4 linked regions of the Arabidopsis thaliana genome follow. The protein of the gene in region 4 interacts with the protein of the main gene of each other region in a pairwise test. Each region holds a gene or a part of one and is shown on either strand. Other genes may lie near its edges.

Evidence for each region.
Region 1: the proteins of AT4G00270 (region 4) and TRB3 interact in a two-hybrid assay, tested with the Arabidopsis thaliana proteins (one large-scale study listed by BioGRID).
Region 2: the proteins of AT4G00270 (region 4) and SWC2 interact in a two-hybrid assay, tested with the Arabidopsis thaliana proteins (one large-scale study listed by BioGRID).
Region 3: the proteins of AT4G00270 (region 4) and AT3G07260 interact in a two-hybrid assay, tested with the Arabidopsis thaliana proteins (one large-scale study listed by BioGRID).

What each region holds. Positions count from the first base shown.
Region 1 is NC_003074.8:18,486,988-18,491,523, reverse strand, and holds TRB3 (telomere repeat binding factor 3), read right to left. Parts: upstream 2,532-4,536; 5' UTR 2,348-2,531; exon of another isoform or gene 2,162-2,347; 5' UTR 2,074-2,161; coding exon 1,924-2,073; intron 1,847-1,923; coding exon 1,632-1,846; intron 1,528-1,631; coding exon 1,443-1,527; intron 1,331-1,442; coding exon 1,247-1,330; intron 1,147-1,246; coding exon 793-1,146; 3' UTR 528-792; downstream 1-527. Other genes in the region: ARLA1B (ADP-ribosylation factor-like A1B), read left to right, coding at 1-48, 146-263; WIH3 (cysteine-rich TM module stress tolerance protein), read right to left, coding at 3,559-3,604, 3,779-4,058, 4,137-4,185.
Region 2 is NC_003071.7:15,406,118-15,411,893, forward strand, and holds SWC2 (DNA binding protein SWC2), read right to left. Parts: upstream 3,796-5,776; 5' UTR 3,572-3,795; intron 3,338-3,571; 5' UTR 3,314-3,337; coding exon 3,246-3,313; intron 3,108-3,245; coding exon 3,038-3,107; intron 2,861-3,037; coding exon 2,789-2,860; intron 2,687-2,788; coding exon 2,643-2,686; intron 2,559-2,642; coding exon 2,285-2,558; intron 2,184-2,284; coding exon 2,108-2,183; intron 2,035-2,107; coding exon 1,915-2,034; intron 1,822-1,914; coding exon 1,753-1,821; intron 1,654-1,752; coding exon 1,611-1,653; intron 1,396-1,610; coding exon 1,330-1,395; coding exon of another isoform or gene 1,254-1,329; exon of another isoform or gene 1,145-1,253; coding exon 949-1,144; 3' UTR 930-948; intron 854-929; 3' UTR 505-853; downstream 1-504. Other genes in the region: AT2G36730 (Pentatricopeptide repeat (PPR) superfamily protein), read right to left, coding at 1-456; UGT73C1 (UDP-glucosyl transferase 73C1), read right to left, coding at 4,414-5,776. UniProt on the Arabidopsis thaliana protein: Component of the SWR1 complex which mediates the ATP-dependent exchange of histone H2A for the H2A variant H2A.F/Z leading to transcriptional regulation of selected genes (e.g. FLC) by chromatin remodeling.
Region 3 is NC_003074.8:2,307,571-2,311,486, reverse strand, and holds AT3G07260 (SMAD/FHA domain-containing protein), read right to left. Parts: upstream 1,879-3,916; 5' UTR 1,784-1,878; coding exon 1,201-1,783; intron 1,030-1,200; coding exon 857-1,029; 3' UTR 504-856; downstream 1-503. Other genes in the region: AT3G07255 (nuclear transport factor 2/RNA recognition motif protein), read left to right, coding at 3,161-3,614, 3,771-3,916. UniProt on the Arabidopsis thaliana protein: May play a role in the control of plant organ development. Does not show transactivation activity in yeast.
Region 4 is NC_003075.7:116,580-120,436, forward strand, and holds AT4G00270 (DNA-binding storekeeper protein-related transcriptional regulator), read right to left. Parts: upstream 2,065-3,857; 5' UTR 1,890-2,064; coding exon 1,656-1,889; intron 1,573-1,655; coding exon 898-1,572; 3' UTR 506-897; downstream 1-505. Other genes in the region: MEE45 (Transcriptional factor B3 family protein), read left to right, coding at 1-128, 173-472. UniProt on the Arabidopsis thaliana protein: DNA-binding protein, which specifically recognizes the GL1 enhancer sequence. May be involved in leaf initiation. May play redundant roles with GPL1 and GPL2 in cytokinin responses by regulating the transcript levels of type-A ARR response genes.

The sequences.
Region 1 (4,536 bases), on a different chromosome or scaffold from region 4:
GATTGACATACATGGAGCTCTTTCCAAAGAAGCCTTGACAGAAGAAATGTATAGCTCTTTATTCATCTGAACACTCCAAAAACAGCACTAAAGGCATCTCATTTAGCTCGATCTGATTATGCTTCTTGCCTTGTTTTTGTTGCAGGGGGCTTAGTTCGGTTACAAGTAGAGAAGTCTGCTGTCTCATGATATCCTGCAAGAACCCTACCACCATTGATCAGCTCACTGATTGGCTTGTAAATCACTCAAAATCAAAGAACTAAACTTCAACAAGAACATCATATGTTCTCTCTTCTTGATCTTCTTACTCGTCCTCTGTTGTCTGGTTAATGATGATGATGAGTCTTGAACTAATTTCGCGTGAAACAAGAGTTTGTCTTTATTTGTCTTCTGTCTCACCTGCTGGTCTGGTCTGGTCTAGTTTGCTCAAGAGGTTGTTTTCTATTCTTAAGGCTTTGCAACAAAAACATAAGTGTCTCAATTTTTCAACTTCTAAAAATCCAAGGAAACGGAAATAAGCTCTGTATACAAATCAAAGGCCTTATTTATATCTTTTCAAACCAGTTTCAAAATGGTTCACGAGAAACCTGTGAAGTTACTAACAAAACCAGATCAACAGAAGCAAGAGAAGGAACAGGTTTTACATAATCATCTGAGTTAGAAGACACTGTTACTGACTAAAAACACTGCGGCGATTGTAAAATGTTGATTTCGATGCAAGATCGAAACTTGACATAACATGAAGAATTGAAGATATATCAACCGATACAACATCAATGATTTTCTTAATTCTTACCGAGTTTGGCTATGCATTCTATACTTCACAGCTTTCATCGCCGCTTTTGCAAAAATATGGGCAGCTTCAGCTTCGGCTTCTGCTTTATCTGCCTCTCTTGCTGCTTCTTCAGCTTCTGCCATTGCAAATTCTGCTTCTGCCACAGCTCTTGCAGCTGCTGCAGCAGCTTCTTTTTCTGTCATACCCATTATCATAACTTCTCCACCTACTTGGGATTTAGTAAGATTTTTGACGCCATTCTCCTCCGGTTTCGGAGTGTTTTCCTTGTTTCCTTCCAACAAGAGTTGAGGAGACCTTTGTCCTTCTCCTTCAGCCATATAATTCTGAGAAATCCTGTATTTGTGCTTTTTCTGAAAGGTGAGAACAAACGCAAGAAAACCATTGTTAAGTCAGTGCTAAATTTGTGACATTTGCAAGAGGAAATTTCGATCAAAGTATCTCTCTTTATACCTTAACTAATGTTCCAACATTTGTCAAATACTTCAGCCTTGAAGTCACAAGCCGTTTCATATCCGGTTGCATCTTGAAATTCTCCTGAAAATTTACAGCAACACTAAGACCTTGATGATTGTATATAGATGCAGTAAGCAATGCTTAACTATTTACAGACACAACGAATAAACACAGAAGGAAAACTTCATTGTACCTCTATATACATCAAGATCGACTTTCCGTCAGGACCAAATGGTCTCTTCAAGCTGGTAATAGCCTCCAATATAATCTTATCCACACTACAACAAACACATTAAAACAAGCCTATTATATTCCTCACTATTCCCATATTCCACATTCACAGCATCAAGAATTCATACAAATACAAGAAGAGAGACCAAACCTTGTAGAAGGTCTTGGAGGTTCACAAGAACCTGCAGGAGGAGATGGTGCATCAATCTGTTGTCCTCCTACATCACCATTAGCTAAAGACACAATGGTAATAGCTGTAGCGTTATCGTCTTGCCTACTACCCGACAAAGGAGTTCTTTTAAGAGCAAGCTTAGCCTTCTTCCTAGATCCCCATAAAGCTGTTACACTTATATTTCTCCATTTGTCCTGTAGACAACAACAATAGTATAAGTTTCGAACTTTTCTATAATCTCTCTTCACTTTAAAGTTGTTGATGTTTTTACCTTGAGATCCACATTAGAACGAGACTTCAGAATTGTGCTATACACAGGATCTGAGAGAATGGTACGCCATTTTCCAGTTCCATGTTTAAGTACTCCAGCTTTAAGAGCTGTTTCTTCTTCTGGTGTCCACTTCAGCTTTGGAGCTCCCATTCACACAATTTTATCACAAAATTCAAAAATTCTATAGAAACACACACACACACACAACAAACACTTCTAATGTCTCGACTTCAATTCTCTGTGAACAGATGAAAACATCACAAAGATCAATACTTTATAATGAAATCCCCAAGTTTTTCAATTGCATTAGTAATTCAATAGAAACGCCAGAGATTACGAAGACACGCACGAGAAAAAGATTAAAGCTTTCGATCAGGGAAATGGGGAAATTAACAAGGAGAAGAAGAGGAAGAAGAAGACATGCCTGAGAAAGCTGAAGGGAATGAGAGAGGAAGCTATGGAGAGTGTCATGGATCAAAGTTTGAAATCTAAAAATTGTGGCATGAGACAGAGGAAGAGAAGACACAAAAATTTGACCTTTAATCTTTCGATTCACCTACGCATGTTGGAGGATGAAGTATGTATCGATTTTGAGGTGCTTTACTGGGAGCCCTTTATTATCTTCATTTTTACAAATTCGTCTTAAACTTTATAATTGCAAAAATACACCCATTTGATCTATTAGGGATTAATTTATGAAATTAAATTAACAATGCGAGTAAAAGCAAAGTAGAAATTAGAGTAAACAAGAGATTCAAGAAAAATGATTTTTGAGAGTAAACTTGACAATTACAAGAGATTTTTTAGTAATATAATAAATTTAGGGTTTTCGAAAATAGAATTACGGATTTTTTGTTTGGTCATCGAGCTTCTTATTTTTCGGATGGGAATATGTCTAATATTCTTTACCGTATTATTTCTTAAGATTTGAGTGAATCTTTCCTTATCTTCATGGAGGTCGATGCCGAGCTCATCGACTTTTAGTTCTTGGACTGATTTCACAATTCAGTCATATCATTTTGGTGTATTTTTGGTTTGAACCGAGTTAATCGGTGGATACTAAACCACTCTCTTACATTAAATATAAGAAGTGAAGACTCAAGATTATATACGATTTAGTAGTATTTTTATAAAAATTTGTACATTGAATAGTTGATCAACCGAGGAATGGTGGATGTGACATATATGTTTGAGACGGAAAATGGAAATATATCGGACCGTAAGTATAAATTTATATAAGTTTGATGGTAATGCTAAGTTTTGATCACGTTGATACAGTCACTTCTTCTTACATTTTTGATGAGAAAGAGAACAAAATTGGGTTGCTTTCTTTTTTTGTGTTCCTCTAGTTGGAAAGAATGAATGGCTTTTATACAAAAGATAAAACACACATATACAAAAGATGGGTAACATACCCTGAATCAATCAATAGTCATGAAAGTAAACAAGACCTCAAGTCAAATTCGGATTCATTCATAAAATTAAAGAAAATTAAAGAAACAAACCCAAAACGTGGACACACATAACCAGAAGAAGAGATCTAAAATGTATATCAAACACGTCTTTTTAACATGTTTGACAAAATTGAATAGCATCCTCAAGACGGTCAACGGCAAATATCAGCTCATCTTCCGATCAAAAGCAAGCTTCCAAGAGAACGCAACAGCAGAGCATAGCCAAACTGTAATACAAAACAAATACACATTTTATAAGTACCAAACATATAGACTTTGAATATCCATATTACTCCATACCAAAATTTATGAATAATGAACCAAAAAAAGGTATATCATCAGCTTCAAGTATTCAAAACTATATGTTAATATAAAAAGAGAGAGATAATTGGTCAACGCACCATCCTTCCATGAAGCCTCCTGAATCCTTCTTATCTTTCTTATTTTTCGGTGGAGCCTGACCATAATGCGGTGGTGGAGGACCTTGATAAGGATATTGTGGTGGATGACCTTGAGGATATTGCGGTGGAGGATAGCCTTGTGCTGGATATCCTTGACCGTATCCTTGCTGCGGTGGAGGATAACCTGCTGGAGGATATCCCGCTTGAGGATATTGTGGTGGAGGATAACCTGCTGGTGGAGGATACCCTGCTGGTGGATATCCTTCCTTAGGAGGATACCCTGACAAAACAACAACATCGAAACTTAAGAAACAAGAAACAAAAATACCCTAAAAACTTGGAAAAAATTGGGAATTACCTTGAGGAGGAGGAGCACTAACGGGATGTTGTGGGTCTTGATAAGACATCTTCTTCTTCTTCTCTGTTATGCTCTTATCTGAGGGTTTATTTCTTTCTTTATAACGAACTCTTTGCTTCTTTTTCTTCGCTGTGAATGGAATAATAATAGGGTTAGTGACAATGATGATGGATAATAAAGGAGGTTTAGGAGACAAGAGACATGTTCTCTCCAAGGACTACTCTTAGATTTTAATGATTTTTAAATATAACTAAGAAAACTTACATGTGATATAGATGACCAACTCATATTTGTGGAACTGGAATCATTCAAATTAAATTGCTATTGAAATTTCAGCCGTTAAATAACAAAAAGATGACTTTATTTATTTCCTCCTTTATTATACCAACTATCATCGTCC
Region 2 (5,776 bases), on a different chromosome or scaffold from region 4:
GTTCCCAACATATACATCAAAATCAAACCCATGTTTCAAAACCTCAACTTGAATCTGTCTCCCAGCAGTGAGACCTAAAAACGAAGCACAAGCCTTGAGAAGAAAAGGAAAAGTGAGCTTATTAGGTTTGATTCCTCGTCTCTTCATCTCAGAGTAAACCCAAATCGATTCCACAGGAGAATCACTTGAAGAATAGCCTCTACTGAGCATATTCCAAGTAGAAGGAGTCGAATCTGAAGAGTGAAGCAGAAGGGTTCGCGCAAAGGCAAGGTCTTTGGCGAGGGATAGTGATGAAACCCGTACAAGCTCGCTGATGATAAAGCTGTCATTTTGGAGAGAGGAGAGATGGATTTGACCATGGATCTGTAGAAGGTGTTTAATTGAGGAACATAGCTTGAGGAAGATAAGACATTGGTGTTTCCTGGATTTGAAGCATGAATCTGAACTCCAAATCATTATGCCATTGGAGCTCTTAGAAATCGCAAAAAGTTTCAATTTTCAAATCGGTGATATATTTATAGATTTGGAACGGTTTTAACGGAACCGAAGTAAAATCAAAAGCTTATTCGGTTCGGTTTAATGTGAAATTGATATTTATCAACCAAAACATATCATCTTTACAAGGTCAGTAATATACAGAAGATTACACTTTCTCTCTGATTCTGAGATGGGTGTCAGAGGTTTTGGTTAGGAGGATCAATCTCTGATTAGAGTGTTGTTGTTTCCATTTCAAAGCTCTGATCATGAAAATTTCCTCCATGAATGTTCTTCTCGCTTCTAATCTCTGAGAACCAAAACCATGGTCGTGGGAAGATCCATGAATGATGTATCACAATCATGTGAGATGCAGATTCTGCAGAGCATGATTACAACTGTGAGTTCATGATCATGTTTCATGAAAACTAAAGGCTTTATATTAATATACTAACCAAATCAGGGAGGTGTTTATTAATCTGAATCTTCTTCACTCTCTTCTTCAGACTCGGAGCTAAGGAAACGAGCTGAGCTTCTGAGGGAAAATGATTTGTTACTCTTTGGAATCTTCGTTCTCTTTTGTTTTGTTGCAAAACCTTTCGCCACTAGTGTATCAAACAAATCTCCCATCTCCATTTTCTTTCTCAAACCATCATGTTCGTCCATGAACCTTCAGAACAATAAACATAAGACTGGGAAATATCAGATTCTAACACTAATAAAGACAATGTAAATATCAAAGGCCTGTTTCACTCGATAACATTCATTTGCTTGATCCGTTAGAGGAAACAACAGATGAATACTTCTATAGACAAGTGAAAACATCGATGCAGCAATAATTGGATCAAGCAACACCTTTCACGTATTGCTTTGAAGGCGTCTCTAGTTGCATAAGGAAGACCCGTTTTTGGATCCCGGTACCTGTATCAGCAATACACACAACAGCTAAGAACTAGTTCTAAAATTGCAGAGAAAAGATAATCAGGTTTCTAGGTTATAACATCATTTCTTTTCGAGAAGTATATATCAAAGAAACTGATAACTTCTTTTTAGTAGACCTAAGAGAGTCTACTTGTGTTCATCCCAGAGATCTTGTTCTTCCGATGAATAAAGAAGAAGAACAGAAAAACTCTTACTTGGCAGGTAATCCCGTAATCACACATACAGCTTTTTCTGGATCTGGAAAAGAGAAAACAAACCAAAAGAAAGACAGAGATCAGTATAGATCAATATGAACACATTTATGTTCATCTCCAAACACCACTCAAAATTACTTACAGGGAACAGACTTCGTCGACAACTCTGAATTGAATGACGCACCATTACAGAATTCTAAATAGTTACATCCTGCATGTAAAGTTAAAAGTTTAAACAAATATAGTTCTTACTTTTCTGGAAAGATCCAATTAGACTGGATTACTATTTTACTGGAGAGCTTACCATCTTTTGAATGATACCGAATCTGAGGACCCTTGTAGACTGCTTTATGCACAATCGCTTTCTTTTTTACTTCTTCTTCCCTTGCCAAGACACGTTCTAAATTCCTCAAGTTCATGATTTCTGCAAGAACCTGACTTTAGCAATTTTGAGTTTCTGATAGAGCAAATCAGATGCAGCATCATAAAAGCCAAACCTGTTTGAGCAGCTTCCAGCAGCATTTCTTCTTGGGTCATCCGTTTTTCCTCCCCTACTTTTTTCCTTTGTATTGGCTGAACAAACACAAAAAAGAATTCAACATGGCAAGACTTAGAAAAGAGATTAAAGTGTAGCCATGAATGTAAATAGCTAGTGGGGATGAGTTCTGAGAAACCTTTGTTGTTGCTTGTATAGCAGCACGCAATGCATCTCTTTCTGCTTGCCGTACAACCACTGAAGTCCGTGTTGATTTCCTAATGACTTTCTCACCTTCCATATCTTCTTGTGCTTCATTCTCTTCTTTTTCTTCTTGTTCCTTGTTTCCCAATTCTTCACCTGGCTTCTCATCTCCAGGAATATATTCTAGTTGTGAAACTACCTTCGTCTTCTTTTTCTTTTTCTTTGAAGCAGTTTTCCCAGGGTAAATCAGCCGCTTCTTTGGCAGATCCCTACAACAATATGCAAAATTGTAACAAAATTAAAACAGACACACATAATAGCCATCATAAGACAAGCTTTGAAAAAATTCAAACCTCAATTCTTTTTCATTTACAGCGACTGCATCAGGCTCAGGCTCCTAATCCCAAACAAAAGGCAAAAGAAAGAAATTAAAAAGAATGGAAATATAAGCAAAAACCTTGATGAATAAGTACTCAATACATAAGCAAGACATAAATACATCGTCATTGAAGTCACTGTCAAACTCATCAGCAACCTCACGTTCTGCTTCATATTCATCATCATGTTCTTCCTGCAGATAACAAAAGTAAAGAGATACATAAATGTCAGCAAACACACGAAAGTTTCTGCGATAGTATCTTGTCTACAAATCTGATTTTTTTCCATTATATATTTTGACATCTAGTCTACCTTAACAAATCATTAACATCTCTTTAAGAGAGTAAGCTATATATAAAACAAAACAAACCTCTTTAAGAGCTTCTTGATTCCAAAACTGTTCATCTTCTTCTACTTCGTCATCAAGCAACTTGGTCATCCTGAAAAAAAACAGAAAACTGATGAATAAAGCTTCCACAAGAGAGTTTCTGATACATCTCAATAACAGTGAGACAAAACCACAATCTTCAGGTGAAACACATTCATCAGGTAAAAGCTTAAGCTCAAGTAATTCTTACCGTTTACCCCGTGTTGCTCTTGTTGTACGGTCCAAGAACACCATTGGCTCTTCTTCATCGATTTCCATTGATAACTTGCTCAACTCTTACTTCTACAAGTTCACAAATTTAAACGAAAATGTCATAACACACAAATTAACAAATCAGCAAGGAACCCCCAAATTAGGGTTTCTCGCAATTTCAAGACTTTACGATTATATCGAGAGGGAAACAGGAACAAAAACCCAAAATTTGAGTGATGTACACAGTAATCGAAGAAGAGCCCATGAAAGCGAGAATGAAAAGTAATTTGTGTGATGAGCTTAAAATCTCGCTCGAGGAGTTACCTTCGGAAAATTTTAGGTTGGAGAAGTTTCTTCGACGAGCACACGTCTTCGCCGGCGACCGCCGCACCTCTTTGATTCACTCTTTCACACACGGTGCCGCTGGTTCGTACACCATTGTTATTGGACTTGAGATATTAATGGGCCTTCCACTTAGACATTTTCAAAGCCCATATTATATTAGAAGATTCTTTTTGTAAAATAAAACTTACAATGATAGACCGCTGGGGAAAAACGTTTTATTTTTATTTTTATTAATGACCTTGAGTAATTTCTTTTTACACTGGCATATATAAAATTTTAAATTAAATTTACGATGAAAAATCGTAACGTAAATAATACCAAAAAAGAAAGATGTTAAGATATATAAATCGGTTAACAAAATTGTCCAGAAATGGTAATATCATAGATAGATTTCAATTTTCAAGTCATGCATGATGTCATTTTGGATATAACACGAGTTGTCAACTTGTCATGATCGAGAAAGCAAAAGTAAACAAACAAAAAGTGTTTCTACACTCCTCTAAACTCCAAGGAGCAAGCAATATCGAAGTTGCGATCTCATGCAGGACCACTGGAGAAGGTTTCTACACTCTTCTAAAGCTACAGAAAAAAAAAAAGTATATAAGAAATTGTGTTTTTTTCTTCAATTTGAGTGTACGAATTCGAATGCTTAATAAGTATGTACTAACTAAGATGTTAGTATAAGATTCGATAATAGAGACAATTTCAAATAAAACTATCATAAATTGTTCTTGAACAAAGAGAAGTAATCGAGAACAAACGTCACAATCATTTTTTTTGGGTAATACAAAAGAAAAGTTACAATCTAAGAAAAGTTACAATCATTTCTTGGGTTGTTCTAATTGCATTATGTCTTGTAGCAAGAATGTGATGTTGGAATGAGAAGAGCCTCCTTCTTCCACAGCCTTGTGAGCTAATTCTCCAAGCTCTTTCACTCTTTTTCTTCTCTCCTTAGCATCATTACTATCACCCATCAATTCCTCCACTGCCTTCTTTACTCCTTCTTTATCCACCAGTACTCCTATTTTCTCCTCTTCTCCCCATCTCATGGACTCTTCAACCCCAGCTCTCACACCGGCTTTTAGTATCTGCACCGCCAATTTCTCATTGCAGAATTGGTCTCCAAACAGTGGCCACGTGAGTAATGGAACGCCTGAAGTGATTCCTTCAAGAGTAGAGTTCCATCCACAATGTGTCAAGAATCCTCCAACGGCAGGATGTGTAAGGATAAGCATTTGAGGCGACCATCCTGTTATGAGAAGGCCTCTTTCTTTGATTCTTTCCTTATAACCGCTCTCTGAGATCCATTCAAGTAACTCGTTATACTTCTCCCAACCTCTTATGACCCAAATGAAAGGTCTTTGGGATTCCTCGAGGCCTAAGCCGAGCTCTTTGAGCTGAGACAGAGGAAGATTGCATATACTTCCAAGGCAAACATATAGCACCGACCCTTCTTCTTTAGAATCAAGCCATTTAATACACTCGTCTTGATCAATGTCCGCCTTGTTTCCCCTCTCAGCTTGGTCTTCTCCTAACTTGTTGCACAAGGAAACCGGTCCGATGCTCCATATCTTACCCGCTTTAACCTTCTTGTAGTCTCTAACATAAGCTGGCTCGAGCTCTTCAAACGTGTTAACAATCACACCATAAGAAGTGTTATCCCCTTCTGTCATTCCGTCAAGGAAGTCTTTCCAATCTCCAGCAACTAATACCATTGGAAGCTGAGATTTTGTGAACTCAACTCTGTCAGGGAAATTAGGAATGGGGAAGTATTCCTTGTCAGACTCTATAGTTTCCAAGAACTCGTGGTTTTGGTGCATTATGTGCGTACAAAGAAGATTGAAGCAACACATGCCATGAAAGATGATTTTTGGTATACCAAGATTCTTGGCAATTCTGTTTGTATAAGGCAAACACATGTCAGCGATTATGCAGTTTGGCCTAGGTTGAATCTCTTTCAAGAGCTTCTCGACTGGTTCCTCGAGCAGGCTAAATGCTTTGAAGAAGGTTAATGAAGCCCCCAATGAATCGAGCAAGTCCAAATTCTCCTGTCCTTCCGGTGAACCCGATTCTTGAGATGGAAACTTTACTTGCACGAGATTGATGGGCAAGCCGGATTGGATAGCCCGGCTAAGAACGTTCTTGAACCGGCCTGCGTTTTGAGGTGTAGTGACAATGGTTATA
Region 3 (3,916 bases), on a different chromosome or scaffold from region 4:
TGACCACCGATAAAACAAGAGAAGAAAGTTGATTTTTGGGTTTGAATAAAGTGGTTTCAATTTTCATTAGGCCAAAAAGTAAAAACTTAATAGGCTCAAGTTTGTAAAATAAACTTCTAATTTGTGATGATCACTCTTGTGATGTGTTATGTGTTAAACTCCAAACGTTTTTGAATGATTGTATGTGTTGACTTTTAACAGTGTATGCGTTGACTAAGTGATGTACAGTAATGAGACGGGGAAAATCATACTAATATTTCCTTCCGACAACTTTATCTGTACTATGCATAGTACTTTTGAGACAACTTTATCTGAATTTTGTATAGTATACTTTTGGGTTGTGATATATTTTCTCGTTTGATTTTTCTTTTCAACTAAATAATATGCAAACCAAATCCGCTTTCGCCATAAGAAAACAACTAAAAGGTTAAATTTACCCGAGAGTGTATTAATGTTGAATAGCCATATAGGCTATAGTATGTATATGGCTGAAAATAGCTTATGCGATTTCTTGAAGAGAGAGAAAAGGTTAAATCCGAGAGTGTTTTACTCATCAATGTCATTGTCATTCTACATATACAACGTAACAAAGAAAAGCGAGAAAAACTTAATCCGACGAGTCACCAAGGTCAAAACACCTAACACCCACTTATACACTCATTACGTGGAAACATAAAAGATATACTACCAATCATCCTGCTCCTGCACTAACAATCATCTCGATGATTATGAGAGTAGGGTAACGAGGGAAACGAATTCAAGGGTAACTCTTCCCTTTGATCTCGTGTTGATGACGAAATGCTCCGGGTATTTTCTCAGCAGCATCAGCAAACCGTACCATGGTTTACCTTTTGCTTCAGGGATAGCCCAGTCTTCTTGTGATAGGTATCTTCTTACTCGACTGTGATGCCATACGTTTCCATACTCCTTTAATATCTGTCACAGACCAACCACTACCATGCATTAGCTGCAAAAATTGTTGATCATCAGCTTCACGATCTGCCTTTGATCTTCCCTCTCTCTTCTTCTCTGCACAAATGAAGCAGATACAATGTCGTGGTGTCACTATCATTCAATCTAAGTCTAACAAGGTTCAATCATCAACCACCACAGTAAAACTTATACTCAAAGTCTAGAACAAGCCTGAAATCTATTTAGTGACACAATGAAGTTAAGCTATCATGAGCAATTTGGTTTTACCTCCAGAGGCATATACTCCTTCATGTCCATCTCTCCATGTTTTCTTTCCACTGCCTCTGATATCCTCCTCTTCATCGTCGTCTTCATCATCGTACTCATACAACTCTCTACTCCGGACGCCATTCTTACCCGACCCGGAACCTGGACCCGAATGATAATTATGGTACGGAACAACAGTAGCCTTCCCTAAGACGTGGTGCCTGGGTCCCAATGGACCGCCTAGGATACTCCAAACCGGAAGCAGGAAGTAGAACTCCTTGTCACCAATCTGCAAAAGGTCCTGTGAATCGAGCTTGACGTTGGGGTTCCCAGGGAGATGGAGGACACCTTCAACGAAGCAGCCATTTTTGCCAAGTACCTCGAGAGAGAAGCGTCGTCTAGTGAAGTCATAGAAGATCCGAGCGTGGTTGCGAGAAATGTTCATCCCACCGCCGAGAGATGAGAGGTCGACGTCGACGGTCGATTTCTTAGAATTCCGGCCGAGAATAATGGAGTAAGACTGCATATAGTACTCGAAATCCTCACCTTGGAGCTTCGCAAATCCAACCTCTACATCGCTCCCGCTTCCAACGGCTGTAGCCATGCCGTGAAATTTCTCCGATTTTGAAGTCGGAGATCAAATTTGGGGTTACATAGTAATAGAATGTGTTTGGAAACCGGTTTAGATATGTTGTGGTTAAACCGTACAATGAAAAATATAAAGGCTTCTCAAGTAAATGACTATTATACCCATCATGTTTTCAGCCTCTCCACTGTCAATGTTACGGGCCTTACGGCGATCAAATCAAAACGGGCAGTTTGTTTCCACGGCTAACAAAAGAAACAGCTTTAGTTGGGCCTTATCTAAAAAGCATCAGCCCATTAACGTGAACCGGATCTTATGTACATAAACCCAGTAGTATGTAATATTCGGGGATAAGCATGACATTGACATGAATATGGATCATGTGATAACCGTAAGGCTTGAAATTATGATGATAAAATATGATGAAAAGTTCATAAGAATATCGTCACATTTTTGTCAAAGAAATAGCAAAGTCAAGAATGGTTTTCTTTTTCTAGAATCTTTGCTTTACATTTTGTTAAACATTTAATCAACCGAAAAAATCACAACGAGAAAAGAACATTTGCTATATTCCACAGTGTATTCGCAGAATCTTCCTTTGTTTTTCTTGTCAACAATTCAAATAGTCTCAATCCTCTTTCCACTTTCCAGGTGCAATTCATGCAAGAGTAAGGCTGGAACTTGTGATAGCCAAGCTATAATAAAGCAACTTCAACAAGCTATTCCACTATTCGAATAAAGACACGAGTCATCTATCTACTCAACATAATTCTTTACAGCCATTTGTCATCTAGCACGTGCCCATGAAGCCAGCCAAACATGAACCACGTCGACACACATCAGATGAGAATAACCGTTACGGCGTCATTTGCTGACCTGGACTGTCTAACCTATTGCACTGTCTCTCGAAGATGGTCGCCACATGTCAATCCCGGGGTCGTGTTTATGCTCGAGATTCGCGGAGTCAGATACGAACACAAGAATTCAAAACACCCAACGTGTCCTCGTCAAAGCCAGCAGGATCTCAGTGTACACGTGTTAACTGTTTCCATGCACGTGTTACACGTGGCGTCTCGGTACTTTTCGTCAAAATTTTACTTGATTTTTACAACCAATGGAAATAGAAACCAACAAAATAAATGGAAAGCGTTTATCGATAATCCGAAATTGTAGCGCTAATAAAGTTTCTTAACCTTTCTCTTAGTGAATTTTGAAACCGCCCATGTCCACTATCCTTATCGGACATGTGTCATGTTCCGAAGCCTTTACCATTCTCTTTTTAATTATCTCCGCCCCTTATAATATTCCTTTCTCATACAACAAAGTTGGCGAAGCTTCAAAACCCTTCAAGAGGAAAATTTTGCGGAAGACAAGAGACCATCTTTTTGACATTATATGTTTGTTGAATCTTTATCAATGGCAGAAAAGTTTGTAGAAGATGAGAATGTGGAGGTCGAGCTCGAGCTCGAGCTATGTCTTTCCCTGGGAGGTCCTTTCAAGAAAACGGAGAAATCTAAAACATTTGGACAATCTAACGCCGTCGGATTCGAGAAGGATAACGGCGTTAATCTTGACGGCAGAACGACGAATGTGACGAGGATAAAGGAAACACGGAAGAAGCGGGAGGCGAAGCAGCAGCAGAGAAGCGGAGAAGAAGGAGAGTGCAAGAGGATCAGAACAGAATATAACGGAGTTAGTAACGGCGATGATATGGATTTGAGCTCTATCAACATGTGTAACGGTTACGGGTCGGGTCGACTCAAGGAAAGCAGTAAAGACGTTACGATTGGGTCACCCATTTGCACCTCCTCCTCCGTATCCGATCCTAGCAGCTCTTCTCGCCAAGAAGGTATATAACAACCTTCTTTTAAAAATAAACTAAAATTGGTTGGTATATGTATATAGTTTTTTTTTAGTATATAATTCGATGTGTTGATTCTGTTAAAGAATCACGAAAATTATGCTATTTGCATGTAGATGATTTTGAATTATGGTTAATGTTCAGGTGGAAGTGGCGACATTGGGGCACAATCTGGCCAAACCAAACAGGTTAGATCTCCGGTTAACAACATTCTGACCGGTACAGAGCAAACCGTGCATAACACAGACGGTTCAAAAGACGCGGAGACCCAAGAATGGTCCAACTCTTCT
Region 4 (3,857 bases):
CGACAGAGCAAGAAAGCGATGAAGAGAGTATCCACGACGAGAAAATCTCAAGAAGAAAGTCTTTACTATCCGAAAACCGATTTGTGACATTAACTCTAACACCTTATACAATCCAAAGTTCTCTACTGGTACGTTTCATCATTCCAAGCCATTGTCTTTTAACAGTCTATAGAATGAGAATCTTTTGTGTGAATCTATGTTTCAGCGTCTTCCGGTTCCTTTCACGAGGATGAATGGTATCAATGAAGAAACTAAAATGACTCTGTTGGATAAACATGGTGTGAAGTGGTTAACGACTCTGCGGTTCGAGGACGACAAAAGAAAAAGACTACGAATGGTAGGAGGATGGCAAGGATTCATCCAAGCTAACGATGTGAAGGCAAACGAATCCATCATGTTGGAACTGATTTGGGAAGAAGAAACAAGTTGCGTCCTTAAGTTCTGCTCCAAGGTGAAGCTAGAAATCAAATGAAACTCTATATTGAAATGAATCAATGTTTGACTCTTTTATTTGGTAAGATATAACTCTTAAGGTTTCATTGTCTTAGAGAGTAAGAACAAAAACCATTTTTCTTTTAATCTTCTACATTGTTAATATCTTGGATAATATTACAAGACACACACACACTCTTACTTATACTACTTCACTACACTCTTAGGCACACACACAAGCATGCCTTAAAGCACATTATTAACCCTAGACTCTAGACTCTTGCACAAGCCACTCTACTACATTGGCTCTTGTGGATACTTGAGTAAAAAGTGGAATATCTTACAAACACTTGCCCAAGTAGAAGAAAGACAGGATCCAAAGATAAATACACTGAACAGACTAGAGCTTATGACTTACTAAGAACCTAAACAACACCAAATGCTACAAGGGCATATTGGTTTCATCTAACTATCATTAGCTGCCTCTGCAAGCTTGGCGGAAAATCTAAGCTTCTTGATATTGAATCTTGTTTCCTCAACACATAACGCTTTCCATTCATCACTCAACTCTCTTCTTTTACCATTTCCAAGGTTCATCAGCTTCTCAAGCTGCAACTTCTTTTGATAACCACTTAAACCTTGCGACATCACCGCCTCAAATGCATCCTGCACCGCGCATAACTCATCATCATCATCATTGTCCTCATCATGTCTCTCTTTTCCACTACTAGTCCCATTCTCTGTTGTTTTGGCTGCCCCATTCTCATTTAAAAGTTCAGTATTAGCCACTTCCTCCTCGTGCTCCTTCAACATCTCCTCCCCGCTCTCGTTAGTCCGGTTTTCCGCTGCACCATTTCCGTTTACCTCGTGCTCCTTATCCATACCATCATCATCACCTTGTCCCCAAATCATCGAAGAAAACCCAAAGGCTTCAGAATCACTAGACCTAGTAAATTTGGGATCATTCCCTTGATTGATTTTCTCCGAGTGAACATGAAACCTCCTTTTCAACTTCCTGATTTTACTCAAAACCTGATCCTTGGAGAATCTCTCAACGATAGAACTTCCGAGGAAACTACAAAACGCATCCCAATCAATTTTGGGATTGAATCCTGTCTTAGCTCTGTAATCAACTAACCCCTGAGCAATTTCGAAAATCTGGTTTTAGAAAATCACAATGCAAAACCAAATCAAACTATAAATGGAGAAGATCAATACAATACCTTTAAGATAGAGAGCTCATCTTCCTCGTTCCAGATCCGGACGATCAACGGCGGATCCAATTTCTTCTTCTTCTTCTTCATCTTCATCTTCTTCTTCATAGTCTCTTCTTCTGCGACGGAAGCAGCACGCTTTGAGGAAGGAATATTCCGTGGAGATCTTCGATGGGAGAGGGTACCGTTGGAGTTATCAGCACCAACACAGGAAGAGAAATCGATCTGCTTCGGAGTCACCATGCTTATTGCTTGCTTTAGACTTGCTGATTCTAGGGCGCATGCAGAGCAGTGATTCCCAATCTTCACGACCTTTAAAAAGTGAAACCCGAGAGAAAAAGAAAAGCAAAATAGGATGAGTAACACTTGGCCATACTTTTCTCAACATTCATAACAAAACAAACACTTTCATCTTTTTTTCTACTGTTTAATATTCATCAATAGTACAATTTTGCTCTTGCAAAAATCTATCATTTTAGTCACTTAATAGTATAAAATATTTTATCTACCTTTTTTATATAATAAATTAAAATTTAGTTTTTTCTACATTTTAAGATTCATTGCTGATATATTTTAAGTAAATAATTATATTATATATTATCCATTTCTGATTGAATATTTTTTTATTATTAAATAGATATTAAAAGGTATTTGAACAAAACATATTACACGATAAATTAATAAATTTTGTCGGTCTCAAATCGGGGTAATGTAAAAATTAACCAAAATCGATAAGATAATAAGATAATATTTTTTTTGAAATCCCTATGTAAAAATATGGTACCAGTAATATCATAAAATTAATAATCATAAATCTTTAGCATACATTCAAAGACTAATTTTATATGAAACTTTTGTTCAAGTCATAATTGCAACTCTTTCTAGAGTATAGTTGGTGTGATCTCTTTTGTATTCACATAACTCTTTGCGTATTTGATCCGTCATATTTGGTTTTGTAACTTTTTTTATATGAAAAATCATTGTTAAGATTTGTGTAATAAAAAATTGGATTAAGTCTCACGTTAACGTCGTATACATGCACAATATCTTACAGAGAAAAAATAAAAAAAGTAATAAAAAAAAATCTAACAGAATATACAAACAATAAAACATAAAGAAAAACTAAATTAAAATTTTTCTTTTTAAAAAATTAATATTGTATTTTACGTATAAATTTTTATAAATTAATAAATGTACTACTATCATAGTAACACCTACAAACTGATATGCATATATACACAAATGAGAGTTAACACTATATATATATCGATTGTACCTTGTGTAGTGGAACACTTTATTGTTGTAAATACATAATCCTCAACTATTAGTGTCTATGTATGTCAAACAAATGAAACAATGAAAGCAATCCAAATTAAATGAACAGATTACAATGTAAAATGCCTTCATCCATCTCCGCCATTAGCATGATAGGAACTTGTACTCGATTTCGAGATCCAAGGAATATTACAAAAGGAACGTAACCGTGCTTCTTTATGATCTTCACCACCTCAAGAAGGACCTCTTGTTATATTGTATAGCTCCTCTTTTCCCTGAGACAAATGACCACAATTCTAATGTAAAAAGATCACATCAAGCGACACAATACTCCATCGGTCAAAGATCATTCTTTTAGCCAAAACTTCATTGATTAAGGCTTTGAATGGGAGGGAAGCAGAAAAAATACATGTTTACCTTTGCATATAGTGCTCCTATTATCAAGACATTATTTCTGTATTTTCCTTTTTGTTTTAATATTTAGAGTTAAGATTTCTGTTATTTAAAAACAGTTGATCTATGCATGCAGTCCTTCTCTTACCAAGACATCATTCATGTATTTTTATTTTTGTTTTAACATAACATTTTTGTTATTTAAAATCAGTTGACATGTGCATGTAGTGCTTATGTTACCAATACATCATTTATGTATTTTTATTTCATATTTTATTATTTAAAATCAGTGTATCTTTCTATGTATTCCTCCTATTACCAAGACACTATTCATGTATTATCATTTTTATTTTAATATTTATTTTAAGATTTTGTTATTTAAAATCAGTTGACATGTTTATGTAGTGTTCCTGTTACCAAGACACCATTTATGTATTTTATTTTTTATTTAATATTTATAACTAAGATTTATGTTATTTAAACAACAGTTGACTTGTGCATGAAGTACTCCTATTACCAAAATATTATTCATGTATTTTCATT